Linked DNA regions of Struthio camelus. The protein of the gene in region 1 interacts with the protein of each later gene in a pairwise test. Links are inferred from orthologs where the notes say so. Each region holds a gene or a part of one and is shown in the gene's direction. Other genes may lie near its edges.

Region 1 (10,211 bases):
ATGCCACACTAAGGCAAAGTTATCAAAGTACCCTGTGAACTCTGAAAATCTTATTTGCTGACTAAGGAGCAGTTTTATCCTGAGGTAATCATTTATTTGCAAAGGCTGTTTATTAACTATAACTATAGAAAAAGCCTGAGATGAAAACAGACTAAAATTTACTAACAGGAACAAAGCTAGCCTCCTCACAAAGTTGTCCTGCTTGATACAACTACCAAGTCAATGCTGAAAACAATCATTTAAAAACATATTTACTCTAAAAAGCCCACTTGGGATAACATACAATCATGTTTGAAAGAGAACAGTTGAAGGATCAAAAGTCTCAGAGTTAGCAAGAATTCAAAGAAGATTTTTATTTTAAGCAAGGATAAACTATTAAAAACATTTAAGAAAGAAAAAGAAAATGAATTGAAAATGATAACGCATGTAGGCTACCTTGCTTCCGTCTCCAGAACCATCCTTGCTTGCACCATCCTTTGAAGCAAAATATGCTGGTGTTTCTGAAAAGTTTCTAAGAGGAATTCTTCTTAGGGAACAAGTTTCAAAAGTTCCAAGTTTTCCTAAAACCGGGATGCGTGTACGACCACAAGTAATACCTGAAAGCAAAAGAAATCCTTTAAAATTATGGGACATAAGTTTTTCTTTCCACTGACCAAACACGTTCGCCGAGTAAGAAGTCGCAGATATGAAAATAAAAAGCTAATTACATGAACTAATACACCGCAGTGAAATTTTTGCTGACACTACAGTCAAATAACAGAACTACCTCGTTAGCATTCGACCAAGATACATGCATTCAAAATATAGTCACGAGCAAAATATAGTCACAGCTCCAATATACTGTTTTATATTCTTTCATTCAACTCTTTAGGAACACCACTGAAGCAAAAACAGTGTTTTCCATAGGTGTAATCTGTTCAAAATGTAATATATATGTATACCTTAAATAAGCAATTTTGGATGTGTTGATTAAAAATAATCTGTTTCTAATCCTAACGACATCAAATCCCAGAATTGATTTAGATTAGATGGAAATCAAAGGTTTCAGCAACAGAATTCAACTTTGAATAATCAAATTTCAGTTATTCAAAAATAAGTGCATGTAATCACCTTAATGTTTACCACATTAACAATTGCTTGGATAATCTACAAATGACCCAGAAGTATCCCTTGTCTTCTAACTTCAGGCAGTTCAGAGTTCCATTGCATCACAAACAAACCACATCCCATTCATGAAGCTGGTCCTCAGAACACAATAGCCTCTAGCACATATTTGAAAAGTAAAAAAGACAGACTTTCAAAGTGTCTCCTCATTATACAAACATTTTCATAGAAGTGTCTCGGAGACCGTGGACCACATATGCAGATTTGGATTTTTCATTTGGCATATGCTGACCTTTTATAGACAGACAGATTAATTTAATACAATCTTAATTTTGTTGAAATAGCTTAACTCCAACATGAAAAAAATTCATTGGGGAACTGAATGATCCTTTCCTCCTTTTGCAACAACTTGTAAGGTTATATTTCATGACTAGGCATGACACAAACCAACCTTTATCATTTTCATGCCCATGATTTCAGAATCTTTCAACACAAAGAAATAAACATCTGGAATCCAGATCTTAAATTTCTCTTCTGCTTAAACTAGGCAATTCCTCTACATATCTGGTAATAATTCTGTGACTGTTATCAATGGGAAAAGCTATATAGCAACATCATAACCTTAACCCTAATTCACGTTTTCTACTCTATTAAAAAAAAAAAAATTCTCTCTTTTTTTTTTTGTTAACAGAAGATGAAAATGTTTTCTAAAATAAAATGCAATCTATATGAATGGAAAATGAAGTACAGTCCATTTGCTCTGAGAAAGCTATAAAATGACCAGAACTAACTCCTCATAACATTGATTTAACTCAATTCATCATTTATTAAGCACCATCAATTTTAACATATTTTCAAATTAATGTTTTTTATCATAACCCTACATTAATAAAACGTATATGCAACTTTGTTATCCAAATAATCTGAAGGCTAAGCAGACAATTCTCCAAAGAGCTAAGCCAATGCTCTGTAAAACATTTGTAAAAATAATAAAAAAAATTTTTTAATAACTTAACTGAAACTCTTTTGAATTACAATTAAGACTTGGAATCTTAAAGAAAAGAGGGAGACTTAAAGTTCCTCTTAATTATACTGTATTATATTACTATAATGCAAGAATAGAAAAATATAGGGAAAAAAAGCATTAAGGGCCAGCCTAATTTTACAGGGAAAACTTCTGTAGACCTCCACAAACTTACAACCAAGAACACTGAATCAAATGAAATTTGTTTTATCAAAATATATGCTACCTAAGATATTTGAAATTAAAGGTGATTTTAAGATATTCTTAGCACTAAAAATACAATTTATTAAAATTATAATAGCGTTATTTATGTCTGTAAAACACTGAAGGAGGACTAAAGATCTGCTGCGTGTCACTGCAACACAGAAAAACACCTCACGCTCCACGGGACAAAACTATGAAAATATATACAAATTGCTAAATACCCTCAGTTAAATAGAAAAATATTGGTTCACTTTCACAAGCAGAATAGGGATTAGTTACAGCAACAGAAGAGAGTTTAAGTCAGTTGTGTCCTTTTGACTGAATATGCACAGAGAACTCTGAAAATCAAGAGTGCTAAGTGTACCTTTCAGTAGAGAATAAACTGGGCTGAGCGTTTATCACCTAACAGCTATTAATAAAACAAAACAAGAAACCCCTCCAAAACACACACAAAACCAAAAGACCCCCTCCTCCCTCGACGACCAAAAAACCTAGCTGCATACAACTCTCCTGCAATAGCTTCTCACCCCAGAGAACTGCCTAGGGAGAAAGGCCCAAATACCAATGCAGAGACTGGTCAAACATTTTACCACCAAACACCGCAAAAGGACTAAAGATCATCAGTTTTAAATCAGAGTGCCATTGTGACACAGAAAAGACACATTAAACTATACTGAATAAACTATGAAGCAATACACAAAGTGTCAAGCGCTGAGCTGATACGTGCCACATTTCCTGCTATGCCAATCTACGACCAGAGACATCGCAGCTGTGGGACTGCAGCTTCGGTGTTAGCAGCAGATGTTGCCCAATCAGCACCATTACACCCACTGCGAGCCTGGTAGGAGCCTACTGTTGAAAGAACAATTTGAGCATGATAACTTTCTTTAAAAAACACATGCTCCTCTTTCTCTCACGATGGTCTTAGTTGGTCGGCCATTAGGGTATAATGTTAAACTTACCTTGCCAGTCACACTGAATTGTGAAGGCTGTAAATAGGCTAAACATAACAGTAACATAATTTTTTTCCTATCAGCTTGACGCACAGGGACAAGACTTTCCATGTTTAGCCCATCTACAGGTCTGAATGATATTTTTGACAAAACGTCACTGTACAATTAAATAATGAAATAGGAATAAAGTTATCACAACTACTTACTTCCATAAACACAAACAAGCATAGAAACAAATTGTCAAAAACAATCAACATTCCAGTCCAACGCCTAGCGATTTCCACAGATACTCTGATAAACATTCAAACATGTAACAACTGGCTGGCACAGCAATACTCTCAGATATACCACTGACGGTTAGGTCTTTTTTTGTTTTATTTTTTAATGGAAAGCAAATTTTTCCCAAACACAAACAAATGAAAACAGTAAATCTAAAGAGCGAGCACCAAACATATGAATATTGACAGCAGCAACAGCACCTCTCTGGGGTGTTCAGAGGAGCAGGTTATGAAATAGTTGGAGACTCCTTTACACTTTATTATTTTTTAGTTCACAGATGAATACCATAAGAAATACCAACTTTTGGGTCAAGTCCTCAAATATTTTTAAAGAGCCTACCACCTAAGGTACTCACAGGGAGACTGACAACAAAAGTCTCATCTCTGTCCCAGAAAACACCCTATCTAGTAGGCCAATCCATACACCCTGCATACTCTCAAGTTTGTACTAACTACAGTCAACCTCAGAGTAATACCAAACTTAACTACCTGGCACAGCAGATACAGTGACAACCACCAAAATAAGATTTTAAAAAACTTTCATAGAAAGTTGATGCATAAATAATTTTACTATTCTATACCTGCGTTTTAGTCTCATTTGCCCTTTTACGTGCCAGTTTTGACAAAAGAAAAATATTGATTGTTATCTTTATAAAAATAACAATTCTGAAGCAAATCCAGAACGTTATCTGTTTTAAAGTTTATTGTTTCAGTGGGTTTGCACGAGGCCAGGCAGGCTGGAGTTGGAAGTACTGGCTTAACCCTGTCAGCACGGGTCATGCTGGAGATGTGGCTGCGAACACAACTGCAATGAGTTAACTTACCTCACGAAGTTAAAGAGTCTTCTCTGACTCATTCAGCTATGGCTGAGAGTATCATTTTTCAAAAAAAAAAAAAGAAATGCTGGAAATGTGGCAGCAGCAGAGATTTTCAGCACAGTCTGAGGACTGTTTGCCTTTCAGTCAAAGCAGCATAGAGTATCTCGCACTTAAGACGGACAAGAACATCCCGAAAAGACGCAAAACCAAGAAAAAGTAACATTCCCCCTCCACTGCAGCCTCCAGTAACTATTTTGCCCCGCGCCACTTTCTTAATAACTCGGAAAACAGTTATGTTTCGCTAGCTGAGCACGAGCCCTCACGAGGAACACCCCAAGCTGCAAGAAGCACAGGATTTGTACCAGTCGGTTAATAAAGCGCATTTAAAGGCACAAGCAGCATTGCGCAATCAGCGCTGCAAATCGCCCCCTTTCCGCGAAACCCTCTTTTCGCCACCCCGGCGAACGCCAGCGGGGTAAAGGCGTCCAAGCCGCGGGACCCCCACCTTCGCCACCCGCGGCTGGGAAAATAAAACAAACGCAAGCAGGAGGGGAGGGCGGCGGGGGCCCTCACGGCGGCCCGGCCCGGCGCTGGGGGGAGCGGCGGCCGCAGGCCCCGCGGCGGTGACAGCGACGCGGCCTCCCCTCAGGGAGGCGGCGGGAAGGCGACACCCCCCCTCCTCCCCCTCCCCCGGCCCAACGGCCGCCAGGCCCGCGCGGAGGGCGGTTACCTCTGCGCGCGGAGGGCAGCGTGGAGCCCAGGAGGCGCGCGGCCGCGGCGCAGCTGTGGCAGGCGGACATGGCGCGGCGGCGGCGGCGGCGGCAACGGGCCCGGCCCGGCCCGCTCCCCCCCCCGCCCCCCCCCGCACCGCGCCTGGCGCCGCCGACTAGGCCTCGGTAGCGGCGGCGGCACTGCGCGCGCGCGCGCGCCCCCGCCGTAAACACCCCCTCCCCTGCCCTCCTCCTCCACCGCCCGGCACCGCCTACACTGACGCCAGGGCCGGGCTGGCTTCACCGCGCCCCTCCCATCCCTTCGCCGACTACCGCTCCCAGCAGGCAGCGCGCGCGGCGCCTCGCCCGCCACCGCCCCAGCCGCCGCGCGCTGCCTCCTGGGAGATGCAGTCCCGCGGGTCAGGGAGCTCTGAGCATGCGCCGGCAAAGTGCATCACGGGAAGTGTAGTCCAGGCGTGCGGCCGCGGGGCGCGGCGGCGGCCTCGCCTCCCGCACACAAACGTCAGGAGATTCCTGCCTCTAACTCCAAAATTCCAGATTTTCTTCCCAGCAGCTGTGACGTGCGTTCGTTTCTACGCAGCGTTATTCCCATATCTGTATAGCCTCGGACTCCCCCGTAGGAGGACATAAAGGCCACGCTCCAGGCCGCGTTATCCTTAATTCCTAAAGCGCTCGTAGACCGGTACGGCTCATCAGGAGAACAAAAATTAATCGGAGACCTCAGCAAGCCCCCGCACTCGCTGCGCAGCTCTCGCCCTGCGTTGCTCCAGGGAAACGTTCAAAGCGAAGGCCGACTCCTCCGCACGTGCAACTCCCGAGGCAGGATTTGGGAGACGCAAAGCCCGGTGAAAACCCGCCCGGCGGGGACTGAACACGCGTCTGCTGGGAGGAGGGGAACTTCTCAAACGTGAAACATTTATTATCTGCTTCCAGATTTTAAACACAAGGTAGTATGCGGGAAACACTTCCCATCGACCTCCAAAATAATAAAAACAGCCTTTCACAAGCAGCAAACTTGAAACAGCAACGGAAAACACGAGGCAAATTAGAACAACTTTGGCAGAAAGATGAAAACGAAGCCTCCTGTCCTGGGGTGATCTCCAGTCAGATCAGCGATCACAAAAACGCGTAGAAGCCAAGCAACGAAAACGCATCCTTTAGACAACGCGCCTGCCGCTGGCAGGGACCTGTGGGTGTTTCTGTCTTTCCGCCCTCCTTCAGCTTTCATCTGCCACACACTGATCAAGTGCAGCTCATTGATCCCAGCTGCCTTTCTGAGTAACAGCTCAGAGATGAGAATGCATTACCTGATGGTCTCGCCTACAAACCTGAGCTGCCGCACAGCGAACGCCATTAGACCACGCTAACAGCGGAGATTACACTCTGTACTGCTTGCCTGCGTGTAACAGTATGAATATCGAATGCCATTTTTCATTTCTGCCAAGGTCTGGATGGATTTTAATCCTTGCGAAGTACAGGTTTAACAGCACCACCTGCAGCCAGCACCACCTACTGCCAGGCAACCGCCAACCCCACTTTAATCTGTATTCAATCCACCACCGATTCCTTTCGGGAACTTTTTTTTTTTTTTTGGAGAGAATCAGAGAGGAATAGCAGATTGGAAGGACGTACTGAAAGGCATCGATAAAAGTTATTTATCCTGCAATCACAAATTACGAAAGCCTGGAGAGAGCAACAGCGTCGTCTTGGACAGGGGTTTGCGTGCTGCTGTGAACCAAGGTTTGTCACCGGCTGCCTCGTGCGTTCGGGTGGCCGACAGCAGCAGGCTGGTTATCTCAGTCAGCCCCGGAGCTTCCTCTCAAACGGGAACGGCGTGCTGAAAACAAACCGGTAAAACGCTGCTGATGAAACAGGAGTCGAACTGACGATTTCCTCAGCTTTAGCTGCAGGAGCCTCTTTGCCGCGAGCGGCAGGCAGCGCGGTCGCGCCACCTGACGCAACCGCACGCAACTCCCTTCCACCGATTATTTGAACCCGACGTCTTTTGGCCAAACGGCAACGCCGAAGGTAAAGCGCCCCCTCCCACGGCAGGCGTGAGAGCTGGTCCCCTGGACGTTTTCCCCCTTTTACCTAAAAAAAAAAAAAACAACAAAAAAAATCTTTTTTTCACCCAGGGTCGCCCTGGCTTCAGCCGCAGCTGCCTCCACGGGGTTGCTCCCCGCCAGGGCCCCGAGGGCTCACCGAGGGTCACGGCCCCGTCTCGGCCATAACCTTGAATTTAGCTGTTCCAAAACACGTTTTGTTTGAACGGGCCCAGCCGACCCAAAGGTCCGGGTTTTGCATTGGAGGAACGAGCACCCCGTTAACAACCGCACCAGGGAGCTGGGTAAAACAGGCTCGGTTAAAGTAAGACCCTGAGTTGAAAACAGACCTTTTCACTCACTGGTACTTTTACTTAAATCAATGGGATTTCTCACATATATTTAAAAAAATAAGTCAAATTAAATTAAATCGCCTCCACTGGATGGCAGCAACCCTTGGCACGTAGCCCTCTGCCAAGCAGGGCGGAGCGGCACAACGGCGGGGCCGGGGCGGGGGAGCGGACGCGGCGGCTCCCTCGACGGCCATGGCGGCTTCCCCCACCGGCCCCCCGCAGGAGGGATCACGTGACCCTCCCTTCTGCCTCGATAACAATGGCGCCTCGGCCCGCTTCTTCCGCCTCGGCAGCTATGGCAGCTGGCCGTCTTCCGCCCCGCCCTTGCGCCTCCCCGCCGTCACGTGGCGCGTGACGCCGCACCCGGAAGTAGCGGCGGGCGCCGCCGCTGGGGTGCGCCGGGGGAGGCGGAGCGGGAGAGCCAGGCCCCGGCACCCCCCCCCCCCCTCCCCGCCGGTACCGGGGGTCCCGCGGAGCCGGTAAGGGCGCAGCGGGCCGTGAAGGTGGGGGCTCGTCGTCGCGGGAGCCAGGCTGTCCCTCTCTTCGGAGCCTCCCTGCTCGGGGCTGAGTGGGCTGTGAGGGACCGGGGGGGGCTCGAGGTGGTGTCGGGGGGGCTGAGGGAGCTCTGGGGGGGGGAGTGTGGGGCTGAGGGGGGCTCGAAGGGCTGAGAGGGGCTCGGGGGGGGTGTGGGGCTGAGGGGGGGGGTCCCTAAGGTGCTGAGAGGGGCTCCGGGAAGGGGCTGAGGGGGGTCCCTAAGGGGCTGTGGGGGACTCTTGGGGGGGGGAGTGGGGCTGAGAGGGGCTCCCCAAGGGGCTGAGGGGGACTCTTGGGGGGGGGGAGTGGGGCTGAGGGGGGCTCCCCAAGGGGCTGAGGGGGACTCTTGGGGGGGGGGAGTGGGGCTGAGGGGGGCTCCCCAAGGGGCTGAGGGGCGGGTCCCTGGGGGGCTGAGGGGGGATCCGAGTGGGCTGTCGGGCTTAGGGGGGGGTCTCTGAGGGGGGCTCTGGGGTGGGCTGTTGGGTCGAGGGGGGCTCTGGGGGGGGTTCCTGAGGGGCTGGAGGGGCTCCAGGAGGGCTGTTGGGCTGAGGGGGGCCCCTGAGGGGCTCCGGGAGGGCTGTTGGGCTCTGGTGGGGATGCACTGAGGGGATCTGGGGGGCCTGAGCAGCTGGGGGGGGGTGTATGGCTGAGGGGCTAGGGGAGCTTTGGAGGGACTGTTGGACTGAGGGGGGCCCCAAGGGGCTGGTGGGGCTCTGGGGGAGGCTATCAGGCTGGAAGGGGCCCTCAGGGGGAGGTGTTTGGCTGTGGGGGTCTCTGAGGGGGATGTATGGCTGAGGAGGGCCCTGAGAGGTTGGGGGGGGGCTCTGGGGGAGGGGGATGTTGGGCTGGGGGGGGGGGGAGAGTTGGACTGGAGGGTCCTGCAGGGGGCTCAGGGGCTGTTGGCTAAGGGAAGTGCTGGGGCAATGGGGGAGCTCCAGGGGTGATGACTAAGGAGGGCCTTGAGGGGCCAGGGAGGCTCTGGGAGGGGTGATGGCAGAGGGGGGTCCTTGGAGGCTTGGGGGAGGGGGAATGGGGCTGAGAGGGGTCTTGAGGGGCTGGGAGGCTTGGGGGGGGGGGTTGGGCTGAGAGGGGGGGCTTTAGCTCAGGGGAGTCTTGAGGGACCAGGGGGACCCTGAGACAGAGTTACTGTAGGCCGGGGGGCCTCCAGGGCGGCATCATCCCACGTTCAGAGGGACTGGGCTGCGGGCGCTCCAGGGTGGCACTCCTCTGGGCTGGAGGAGGTCTGAGGGGCTGGGGGCAGCGCTGCCCCCGGGCTGGGGCTTCGTGGCCCCTGCGGCTCAGCCCTGCAAGGAGCCCCAGGCCCTTCCCTGGGGGTTCATCTTCTGGGGGGGCTCGGGCAGGGTGGGGGCTGCCTCAGCCTGCGCTGCAGCGGATGCAGGATGCTGAGCGGGTTTGTGCCCCGCTTTCCCAAAGCAGGGCAGGGTGACCCAGTGCTCCGGGGAAGGGCGGGCCGGGGTCAGTATTGGGGCACCCGGGAGCAGCACAGTGCGGGGAGCGGTGAGCGAGAGGGGAGGAAGGTGCCTGCCGCTGTGTCCCGAGGGTCCGTAACTCCATGTTCTCCCCCGCTGTCTTCGCCTGGCGTTCGTGAAGTACTCGCAGCCGCAGCAGCTCCCCTGCCTCTCCCGGCGTTCGCGTCCCGTCGCGACGAGGCGCTCGGTGCTGCTGCTGCTGATTCAGGTCTCTTGGCCCATGGGAGCGGGCGCCGCATGGCCAGTGTCGCAGAGAGCAGCCGAGCGGCGGCCTGGCTCGCGCCGACCCAGCGCTGGGGAGAGCAGCAAGTCGCCGCGCTTCTAATCCGCTCTGGCATGTTTTTCCTCTCTAGTGGCAGGATCAAAATCTTTCTAGATCAGTAATGAATGGAAAGCGTTACTAGTGTAGCGTGAATAACTCACAGGAATATTATCAACTGCTTTGGAGTGCAGCTAATAGGATGTACATTCATAGGTAATACTACTTCAGAGGAATTCTCTTTAAGAATATAGAGTCCTTTAGTTTCGTTTTTCTTGAAAAATGAAACCCAAGTGGCTTGGTTATGAACAGCATCAGGTTCTTGGTGATTTGAGCTACCTTTGTTGGTGGATTTCCTGGTTCAAGTTAATTGTTTAGCTTTTCTGTAGCTGGAAAAACACACAGTCATTGTTGACACAGG
Region 2 (11,326 bases), on another chromosome or scaffold:
AAGCCAAGGGTTTCTTTACTGACACACAGAGCCTGAAAATACTATTGACAGCAGGCAGTTTAATGAGCGACTGCAGAGGGTTGTTTTTTTTGTTTTTTTTTTTTTTTGTGAGCTCCCTTAGTACCATCTAGTGGGCAATCAGCATCCTGCAGAAGGGATTATTTCCTTGTAACACGTTATTATTTGTACTGCAGTGGCGGTATGTGCCCCAGAGACAGTCAGATGCCCCTGTTTGAAAGGAGGAGCTATACTAGTACGTACCAAAGAAAGATGAATCCCTGCCCTGACTACTGCCATACCAATGTTTTAGGTGCTGTCCTGGGGCCTCGCTGCGTTAGGCACGTGTAAATGCTGTTGCAGGAAACGACCCAAGCAAAATTCTCTAGTTTACGGTTGCTGAACGTCGGATTTTTTAAAAAAAGCTCCGTCTCAGTTACACGGCGTAGAGAATGAGAAATAAATTATGTTTTCCCGGCTCCAGCTCCCTTTTCAGCGCCCGTCTGGTTAAGCTACCTGGAGGCCACGTCGTTCCCATCTCGTCGTCCTGCAGCTCGACGCCGTCGTCCCCCCGGCCGGCTGCAGCAAAGCATGCGGCGCCTTGGGGCTTCCCCAGCGGAAAGGTCCGCCGGGAGAGACAGCTCTCCCAGCTTATTTAGATTTCCCACCCTTATTCAGTGCACATGAAAGCAGACAGCGCACGTGATGGGAAAGCGCTTTCCAAAGGCTACGTAATTCCCTTTCGGTGCATTAGCAGCCAGCGAGGCGGCCGGTGACTGGGCACAAGTCTTCGAAGAGCTTTTAATTCTTACCCCCGTTTCTAACGGAGGCTTGAAAACAGCATTTATTTCCCGCAGTGTAGTCGTCTTCCTGACAGGTGGGGAACGCGCTCCGGTTTAGCTGTGTCCAGCGTTAAGTAACTGTGTTTGCGCTTACACCGCTGCCACCAAGCAGAATACGGGTGAGCCCCGTTCCTAAATACAGCTCGTCTCAAAGCAACGGCTTAAGGGACTATGGTTAAGGGACTTTTTTTTTCTCCTCAAAGGAAAGGAGAGGGTGTTGTAATGGACTCAGTGAAGATCTGGAAGCAAGACATTTCTTGTTTGATCCTCGTGGTTTTGATAGTAGCAGAGAGCGGGATTTATCTAAAAATAATCCCCGTGAAGAAAAGGATAGAGGCAGAGAAGCTGACGGAAAACAAGCAGCCACTGAAAATGCTTCCAGGGCTCACGGTTAGTGTTTCCACTGCGGCCACAGGAAAAAAAAAAACCCTCCGTTTTCAAAACTGTTAAGTGAGAGCACTGGAAAGTAAAAGTAAAATCCAGACCGGCCTAAGACTGGAGCTAGCCCCTAAGCCACAAAGGCAACGTTGTGAATTCACGCATCTAAAGGGCAAAAGAGTTGTGCTATCCATATCAAGTGCCACTCATTAACAGGACCGGTCTACCACAAGCCATTGCCATCACAAGGCAAACAGAAAGAAGAAAGCTCTCAGCAACAGGCTTTCTGCATGAAAACAGGTCCTTGATTAAGCGACTGGCGGTAACTGAGTGGCAATTGTATGTAGGAATGTGCCAAGAGACCAAAAAAAGCTACTTGTCTTGACATCACTATGCAGTTTGATAGAGTTAATGTGCTACTTAAAACTTCCTGGAAAATATATTCTCAGGCCATGCAACACAAAGGCATTTCTGATTAAATGAACCTCCGTAGAATCAGATAAATAAAAAGGGAGGTTTGCCATTCATGCACTTGCAGGTACATGAATGTCCTGAGGTGGACATTAATTTATTTCTTAATTCCCAAATCATGAGAGAGCCCAGCAGCTCAAACTACAGGCTAGTTCTTTCCAGTACCCAAATGAACTAGCGCTTGCCCACACGACACGATTCGGGACAATTAAATCGAATTGCTTCGCCTGGGAGCACACAATGCAATTTATCCCAGTGGGCTTTCAAAAGGAAGCAAGCCAAACTGAATGAGATGCTTCGACTCCCAGTGTCCGCGCAGGAGTTAAGGTACCAGCTCAGTCCAGCTCCCGGCCAACCTCGAGTTAATTCGACAGACAACCTGGATTAACAGGTTTTCAACCACACAGTCTCTCCCTTCATCCGGAACCAGAGAAACATCTCCCTCTTCAAAGCTGCCTCTCCTTGTCCCTACTCATATGGTAAGTGGAAATGCAAGTTGTCAATAGGCAAGCAGTTGCTGGGGAAAGCTCATGAGCAAGCTTTTTGGATGTGTTTGACTCAGACGTTGTTGCATATTGATTAAAAGCTTTTCTTCAATAAAACCCCTGAGATGATCCTGCCGTAAGAGCTTCACTAACGATAGCAATAAATCATTAAGGCAGGTGGACTTTTGTCCTTATCCTCAAAGCGTGGTCTAACCGTGGCAAAGACGTTCTGGAAACGAAAATGCTGAGGGGCACTGGAGACTTTTCCTGTATTGCCTTTGTGCCCATCGGCTAAGGCAGCAGGGCGATGCCTCTGAGAGCGGCCACGGCGCGCAGCCCCCCGGCCCCTGCGGCTTTGCGCTTCGCCTTGGAGGGAAAGGTTTCGCCCACCAGCGGCTCCGCAGCATCTGGCCTCCTGGAGAGCAATATCTGCTGCTTCATGGAGGCTCCTGCAAGGATGTTTGACCTCTAGCTTGAGAAGGGGGAAAAAAGAAGTCTTTCATACTGCCCATGAAACTTTGCCTGGCCCCGGCTTACAGGATTAACGACCTAATTTTATCTTTTCTTAAATTTTTCCCTCCTGCAAATCCCGCCTCCACGATCCCAGGAGGACACAGATAGAAACGCTACTTCCCAAATGCTGCGCAGGGGAAGCTCTGAGACAGAGCCTGTAAATGAGAAGCTTAATTTGCACATTTTAATACACTTTCTGCTGCCTTCATCCACAGCTTCGCAGAGGCTGGTTCGTGGCTAGGTTGGGAAGGGACAGGGTATTGGTTTCAGGTTGGAACACAGACACAGAAAACACCACTTCTGCATCCAAGAGCAAAAGTAGACTTCAAACTAGGACACGTGATTCAGAAGCGGAAGCAAATATTTCAGGGACTAGCAGTAAGTTATCCAGCCCCCAAATTCTTCAGACTGCAATGGCAGTCACAAACCTGCTGTAAGCCTGTGTTTTGTGGGGAGGAGAGGCCTTGAAGTTATTTTTAGAGCATATAGCTTTAATCACTGGAAAATACGTATGGAACGAACAGCTGTTACCAGACATCCCAACTCGCAAATAACACCAACTATCGTTGGAGAAAAAATTGCTGTCAACTGGAAAAGGACCTCATCAGAAGCATGAAATGAAAGTCGGATTTTTTTTTTTTTAGGTGTCTTTCGGGCACAAGTAGAGGAGTCACTAAAACGGCTTGTTTGTGGCACCAGAGTACACGAGTTTAGCGGAGATGTGGAAGTAAAGAGCTGACAGCAGCAGAGCCGGGGTGCTGCGGCCGGGCGCAGAGCACCCGGACGTCGCTGACATCCCTTTCCCAGCAGCATCCCGTCTTTGTCCCTCAGCTCTGACGCGGGCTTAAATCATTTTCACGCGTGAGAAAAATCATTTTCACGCGTGAGAAAGGCTAATTCAGACTGAACGGTCCGGTCAGGCTTTGCTGCAGCTGGGACCAACCCGGACAAGGACGAATGAAACATTTACAGGTGCGTGGCTACTAGAAATGTGGGAGATGCCCCCATCTGACAGAGAAGCTTTTCCTGTATTATTAAAATGAGAAATGTTTAGAAAGAAATTGGAAATAGAAGGCTGCGTTCTTCCTTCCCCGTTCTTTGCCGCTACTGTGTGTCACAGCCTTTTACAAGCCGCTGCGCTGACACCCGGATACTGGAAATCACCATCGATACGATATGCCATTTCCGCAGCCGCTCTAAGCATGGGAATTAGTATCTGTTTTAGTCCAGCTGGTTTCCAAGTTTAACGAAACCTTGCAAAGGGCTGGAGGAAACCCCCTCAAAGTAGAACTGTACAATCATTCGTTTATTAGTCTTTTGGGGTAGCAACAGTAGCCTTTGGGGCCAGAATATTTGCAGCAAGAGGTAATGTGGCCATGCTAAATGAGCTATAGGTTATTTCTTCTGTGAAATGCTCGCGAATTCAAAGTAAAGACTTATCAGTGCTACATCAGTTGCAGAAGTTTGTTATCTATGAACCAGCTAAGTAAAACTTGTAAGAATTACGTGATCACATGCATATCTTGAAGAAGCCGTTTGTGGCTTAGTTTTTATTTTGTATAATTAAAACCCTTTAACCACACTGTTTATTTTAGCAAAAGCTAAATTAATATATGTAATTTAATCACATACAGACTGAAAGCTCACAGGAGATTAATTACCGAATTAGGTACAAAAATACCTGATTATACATACAAAACAAACCCTCAGAAATGAAATTAAACAGCCTGTTAAAATAATGCCATTTGGGCTTTGACATTGAGCCAAAAGACAGAAAAAAAAACACCTCTGTATTTCAGTACAGAAAATCCACCACTACTATAATTTTTCCAAACTCAAGACGTGGCCAAAGGCTATTTGCATCAGAAAAAATAACTAGCAGCATGCATGGCTGAAAGTTTTGAGGAGAAGAACAAAAAACATTGATTCGGGGGTATTCTTGTCTGGGGGGTTTTGCAGTGAGCCTCCCTCCGCACGTGAGGAGTCGGTGCCCCTTCCCACATAAAGCCACCGTTGGCCCTTAGCCGTGGGAGCGGGTCGTGATCCGGCCGAAGGAGAAGCGAGCGAGCGCGCAGCCTGTTTCGAGGCAAAGAGGAAAGAAAAACAGTTATTAATACGTCTGCCGCCGAGGAAGGATAAATTGGCAAGGCAAAAAATAAAATAAAATAAAATAAGGCGCATCTCGAAGATGATAAGCATCATCCTTCCGGCATTAAAAGCGTGCTGGGACTCGACTCCCCCCTCTCCGGCTGCGCTGGCTCCCTGCGGCGCGGGCACGGCAGGGGCAGCGCCGCGCGGAGCGGACGCCGGCACAGCGGCCCGGCTGGGTACCAGCTGTATGTCACGCTGAGGGGCTGCAGCTCGGCGGAGTGACACCGGTACAGCGTGACACGGGGCCCAGCAGCCTGGCAAGGTGACGTCGGTACAGCATGAACAGAGGGGCACAGCAGCCCGGTGAGGTGATGTCAGTACAGTGTGACACGGGGGCCCAGCAGCCTGGCGAGGTGACACCGGTACAGCATTACAGAGCGGCACAGCAGCCTGGCGAGGTGACACCAGTACAGTGTTACAGGGCGGCACAGCAGCCTGGTGAGGAGACACCAGTACAGTGTTACAGGGCGGCACAGCAGCCTGGCGAGGTGACACCAGTACAGTGTTACAGGGCGGCACAGCAGCCTGGCGAGGTGACACCAGTACAGTGTTACAGGGTGGCAGAGCAGCCTGGTGAGGAGACACCAGTACAGTGTTACAGGGCGGCACAGCAGCCTGGCGAGGTGACACCAGTACAGTGTTACAGGGCGGCACAGCAGCCTGGTGAGGAGACACCAGTACAGTGTTACAGGGTGGCAGAGCAGCCTGGTGAGGAGACACCAGTACAGTGTTACAGGGTGGCAGAGCAGCCTGGTGAGGAGACACCAGTACAGTGTTACAGGGCGGCAGAGCAGCCTGGTGAGGAGACACCAGTACACTGTTACAGGGCGGCAGAGCAGCCTGGTGAGGAGACACCAGTACACTGTTACAGGGCGGCAGAGCAGCCTGGTGAGGAGACACCAGTACAGTGTTACAGGGCGGTACAGCAGCCTGGTGAGGTGACACCAGTACAGTGTTACAGGGCGGCACAGCAGCCTGGTGAGGAGACACCAGTACACTGTTACAGGGCGGCAGAGCAGCCTGGCGAGGTGACACCAGTACAGTGTTACAGGGCGGCACAGCAGCCTGGTGAGGTGACACCAGTACAGTGTTACAGGGCGGCACAGCAGCCTGGTGAGGAGACACCAGTACAGTGTTACAGGGCGGCAGAGCAGCCTGGTGAGGTGACACCAGTACAGTGTTACAGGGCGGCAGAGCAGCCTGGTGAGGAGACACCAGTACAGTGTTACAGGGTGGCAGAGCAGCCTGGTGAGGTGACACCAGTACAGTGTTACAGGGCGGCAGAGCAGCCTGGTGAGGAGACACCAGTACAGTGTTACAGGGCGGTACAGCAGCCTGGTGAGGTGACACCAGTACAGTGTTACAGGGTGGCACAGCAGCCTGGTGTGGTGATGCTGGTACAGCATTACAGGGGGGCCCAGCGGCCCAGCAAGGTGACACCGGTACAGTATGACACGGGGACACAGCAACCTGGCAAGGTGGTGCCAGTACAACATGACATGGAGGCACAGCAGCCTGGTGAGGTGACGCCACTACAGTGTGACACCTGGGCACAGCAGCCCAGCAAGGCAACGCCGGTACAGCGTGGCACAGGGCACAGCAGCCCAGCAGGGTGATGCCAGTACCGCGTGACACAAGGCACAGTGGCCTGACAAGGTGATGCCAGTACAGCGCTACATGAGGGCACAGCCGCCCGGCAGGGTGACGCCAGTACAGCGTCATGCCGCGGCCCGGCGGCCGTAGCCCGGGCGACGGAGGAACACGGCAGGAGGCCCGGCGGCCCCGAGGCGCCGCAGCCCGGGGGGCCGGCGGGGCCCCAGCCGCCGGCGGGGCCATGCTGAGGTAAGCGGGCCCTGCGCGTGTGTGAGGCGGCTCCTCGGCTGGGCCCGGCGGCGTCAGAGGGGGCCGTTTTCTGCCCCCGCCGCCCGCTCTGCGGGGCACCGCGGCGGGCAGGGACACCCATCATGGCGGCCGGGGCGGGGGTTGGGGGGGGGGGGCTCTTGCTAATCACGCGGCCAACGGAACTCCCCCCCTCCCCTCTCCGAGGCCACGTGAGGCAGCGCCGTCGGCCCGCTCCGGCTGCGGCCGCTGCCGCTCTGACCAATAGCGGACCAGGCGGCCAGGGGCCGGCCAATCGCCCACCTCCTCCTGCCCCTCGTCCCACCCCCCGTAGCGGATAAGGAGCGCGCCCTGGGCCGCGGGCGTTACGCGCGGCCGTGCGCGCTCACGTCCCTCCTCCCTCCGCCCCTCCCCCCCGGGGGCTGCTGTTTAGGCGAAGGGCGGGGCGGGAGGGAGACCCTCCGCGCCATTGGGACGCTCGGCCGGGCCCCGCCCCCAGGCCCCGAGGAGCCAATGGGAGGCGCGAAAAGGCGTGGCCACGGGGGCGGGGAGTCTATAAAGGGGGCGCGCGGCTGGCGGGAAGAGGTAAGATGGCGGTGTAGGTGCGAGTTGGCGTGTCTTGCGCTTCCCCCCGCCCCTCCACAGGCGCCTGGGTTTCCCCCGCCGGAGGAAGCGGCTGGATCCCAACTCTCAAGCCGGCCACGGTGTGAGGCGGGAGGAGGAGGCCAAAGCCTCCGCTGCCGCCTGCGCCGTCATGCCTAACATCAAGATCTTCAGCGGGAGCTCGCACCAGGACCTGTCTCAGAAGATCGCCGACCGCCTCGGCCTGGAGCTCGGCAAGGTGGTGACCAAGAAGTTCAGCAACCAGGAGACATGGTGAGGGAGCGGAGCGGGAGGGAGGAAGGGGGGGGCGGAGCCGAGCACTACAACTCCCAGCAGGCCGCGCGGCGCCGCCGCGGTGGAGCCCGCGCCAGCGCCGCGCGGGGGCTGCCGGGAGTTGTAGTGCGGGGAGCTCGCCGCCGTGGCGGAGCGGGGCCTCCCGGGGCGGGGGCAGCTGCCGGGCCCGGCAGGGCGGCGGCGGGCGGAGCGGCCCTTATTGGGCTTCCCCTCGGCGGGGAGCCCCGGGGGAGCGGGGTCCCGCGTGGGAGAGGCGGTAGACCCCGCGGCGGGGCGGCGGCGGGGGAGCCGCGCTGGGCCGCGCTGCCGCTCTCATCGCCTTTAGCGGCCTCGGCCGACGCGGGCGTGTGGCGCCGTCGTGCGTGCCGCGCCGCCCGGGAAGCCAGCGCCGGGGCTGGACGCGGCCCCGGGATTGCGCTGCCTCTGCCCTTATCAGCCTTTTCCATGGTGGGGCCGAGCCGCAGGCTGCGGTGACTTGCGGCTGGGCCGCTCAGCCCGCGGGGTGTGGCCGGTGCCGTCAGGCCGCTCGGGAGAGCATCGGGACCCTGAAGCGCTGGGTGACATCGCTGCGCGGTGCAGGAGGCTGCAGTGATGCCTCGGGTGTATTCCCCCTGACGTTTACTTCGTTTTCTCTGTGTGTTCTTCATAGATCTTTGCTGCTGTCATGCTCAGGAGAGGCTGAAAAGTTAGTCAGGGGTCTTAGAGCCTGGTCTAGCAAAGTACAGTATGCATGGCTTTTTTTCCCTCAGCATAACCTGCAGAACCTTACGTGATTGTGCCAACCCACCACTTTATTCTGGAGACAGATCGTTTTTTTTTTTTTTCTCCTGAGAATTCAGGATAGACACGTGAGGCAGAATGTCACAGAGGTTTCCATTGCATGGGTATCTGCTGTAATTGAAAACCTGACAGGTACTACAAAGCGTTGTAGAGGAAATCAGTAAAAAGAGTCTGTCTGTGACCTACAGCTGTTGCTGTTGCACTGTTCTCATGGCTCTTACCTGTCCAGTTGGCTAGTCAGGGTCTTAATGTCAGCAGGTAGCGTGACTGTTAAAGACCTGACACATCCTATGTACCTTAATAACCCGATGGCAAATATTTACCTGAAGAAGCAAGATTGTTAAAACAATCAGTCAGCTGACTTGATGTTTTTGTGCTGTAAGGCTCAGAGAGCTCTCATTAAGCTCTGACCGTTAGTAGGTACAGTTGATGACAATTGTAGGCTGACAACTGTTAAGTCAGACAGTTACCCTACTGGGAAGTCCTCGTGCTCTCTGAAATATTGCTCGAGGGATTGGTGTATGCTGAAAGCCAGTGTATAAGACAGACAGCAAAATGACTGAACCAGCAGCTTGCTGGTGCAGCTTAAGCAGCAGGACTGTGAATGCGTAGTGGTCATCAAAAACATGTTAAGGAAGGATGGGAAGTGAGATGACAGAATGAAATACTAGTATTAAAAATCTACCCTAAGGGTGTATAAAAATGGAGCCATTAGGAGCGTGTTGGGTGATTGTCCCCTTGCTCCTAGAGATAGCTCAACGAGATGGCAGCAGTCTACAGAGCAGGTGAACATCTCCAGGGCAAGAAGAGAGAACCTATGGAGGAACTCTGTCCTCTGTAGGCTGACTTTTGGTTACTTCCAAATCTGTGGCATGCTTCTCTAAATTGAAATGCTGGAAGTAGGAGTAGTTAATTTTTTCCTACAAAAGGCCTTTTGCAGCGCTCATCTCTGTGAAGCCTCAAACCTTAGACTACTGCTTTCTTGTCAACTCTGCTTTTGGTGCAGGTGCCTCAGCACATGCACTGAAGCTTGCTGGCAGTTTGCTGCTGGCAAACAGGACCTTTGGCTTGTATTCACAGTCCCTTCATCAGCAGGGATTAGTGTGCATTACATCCAGAAGGAAATTAACCCCCAAAGCCTTTCCAAAATAAAATGCTGGAGGGCCTCTCTGTCCAAGGCTGTCGATAGCTGTTATGATTCTAAATTTAATAATCTGCTGCAGTGTAGCTTCTGTTAGAAGTTTGGCTCAGCTTTCTCTGCTGTCTGGCCATCATGCTTGCTTCGTTTATACACTGCTTTTAACTGAGGTGGGCATAAATTTCTGATGTGGGGCAAACAAGGACTCTTCTAGGATGCGTGCACGCTCAGATTGTGTTGAGATTGAAAGTACAGGTTGAGTGTTTTTAGCCTTGCTGACTGAACCATTAACTCTGATCAGTGAGCAATGAAAAATAGTCACTGAGCAAATAGGCAGCAGTGTTCCTGCTCAACACTCGTGATTATATTGCCTTGTCACCCACAGAGCCTTGGGACTGCAGTCCCATGAGTTGCAGCCTTGGTTGGTCTGCAGGCATATGTAATGGCTGTGTTTAATTTGTGTTTGGACACAACTCTCCTTTCTCCATCTGTTCCCAGTGTGGAAATAGGTGAGAGCGTACGTGGGGAAGATGTCTACATTGTGCAGAGTGGCTGTGGTGAAATCAATGACAATCTGATGGAGCTCCTTATCATGATAAATGCCTGTAAGATTGCCTCAGCCAGCAGAGTGACAGCTGTCATACCCTGCTTTCCCTATGCTCGTCAGGACAAAAAGGACAAGGTAAGGATTTCAGTAAGGGTTTCTGTTGGGAAGATGAATGCATGTCTCAAAAGTCCTGGCTGCTGGTTAGGGATTAGATGAAGCTGAATATGTAGAAGAAGAGATGATAGGACTGACTTTAACTTCTTAAACCTCAGGGCATTGGACTGGAAAATCGTCTTTTCATTAAAATCTAGTTCTTGAAAATATACCAAGCTGTAATCACCCATTGATGAAAAGATGCAATGTTAATGAGCGCTCCTTTTAGTAACTGCCTGTGAATCATTGCCTAGAAGCAGAAGGCTGGCATCTTGATGAGGGAGTTGAACTTGTCTTAAACACTGTTTTTTCTTGTACTAGAGTCGAGCCCCGATCTCTGCCAAGCTGGTTGCGAACATGCTGTCTGTGGCAGGTGCAGATCACATAATCACCATGGACCTGCATGCCTCTCAGATTCAGGTAGGAGCTGAAATCGGGAGAGCGAGTACTCATCTGCTCACATCTGAGCCTGTTTACTGCCTTGGAGGCTTGCCAATGATCAGCTTTTTATTGGACACAGCAACAGTTGGGACTTGGGAGCACAGGACTGGAAAGGACTTGTAGGATCATCAGAAGAGGATGGGGGGGGATGGATAATGGGTTCTTCTGTAAATAAAATTATAGCTGTTCTTGACTGGGCTAAGTGATGACTGCTTAAATGAATATTGGCTTAGTAAATGTTTCATGCAGCTTTATCACCTTGCAGTGACGCTGTGTGTTCTTAACTCGTCCTTTGAGGAATTTGAGACAGAATGGTTTGATAGTGTAGACTGTTCTTAAATAATTTGCTAGTTTAGACTGTTCTTAAACACTGAGCAGAATTTTGTGATACTGAACTGTCAGGATGTGAGCAGTGCACTGAGGCAATGGCTTCTTGTTGGTTTGGCACAGTGGCTCCCAACACTGCTGCCCCCAGGTTAGCGCCTCCCCGAGATGTCCTAGTACAGCTGCTTGTGCGGGTGCAGTTGTCCAGAGCAGTGATCTGATAGCTTGCTGCTGACAAGACGAGCAATCCTGCTGGAGTCCATTCGCTTCCAACATGGCCCTTCAGTTGGCTTTGGTCCTCTCCCAAGCTCCCAGCTGACTGAGCTAGTTACACTGGCAGAAAATTATTCACAGCTTTTTGCTGGATTAG

The links.
Region 2: the proteins of SPG21 (region 1) and ribose-phosphate pyrophosphokinase 1 interact in binary tests that used the Homo sapiens proteins (3 or more experiments, as listed by UniProt). The two-hybrid records come from large-scale screens. The link is inferred for Struthio camelus from reciprocal best matches to the Homo sapiens genes SPG21 and PRPS1.

Annotation. Positions count from the first base shown.
Region 1 is NC_090953.1:4,121,554-4,131,764, forward strand, and holds the start of SPG21 (maspardin), read left to right. Parts: upstream 1-5,561; 5' UTR 5,562-7,140; intron 7,141-7,856; exon of another isoform or gene 7,857-8,037; intron 8,038-9,652; exon of another isoform or gene 9,653-9,739; intron 9,740-9,884; exon of another isoform or gene 9,885-10,006; intron 10,007-10,139; exon of another isoform or gene 10,140-10,211. Other genes in the region: CLPX (ATP-dependent Clp protease ATP-binding subunit clpX-like, mitochondrial), read right to left, coding at 436-596, 5,112-5,181. UniProt on the Homo sapiens protein: May play a role as a negative regulatory factor in CD4-dependent T-cell activation.
Region 2 is NC_090952.1:26,178,487-26,189,812, reverse strand, and holds the start of ribose-phosphate pyrophosphokinase 1, read left to right. Parts: upstream 1-7,043; 5' UTR 7,044-7,430; coding exon 7,431-7,552; intron 7,553-9,989; coding exon 9,990-10,173; intron 10,174-10,512; coding exon 10,513-10,611; intron 10,612-11,326. UniProt on the Homo sapiens protein: Catalyzes the synthesis of phosphoribosylpyrophosphate (PRPP) that is essential for nucleotide synthesis.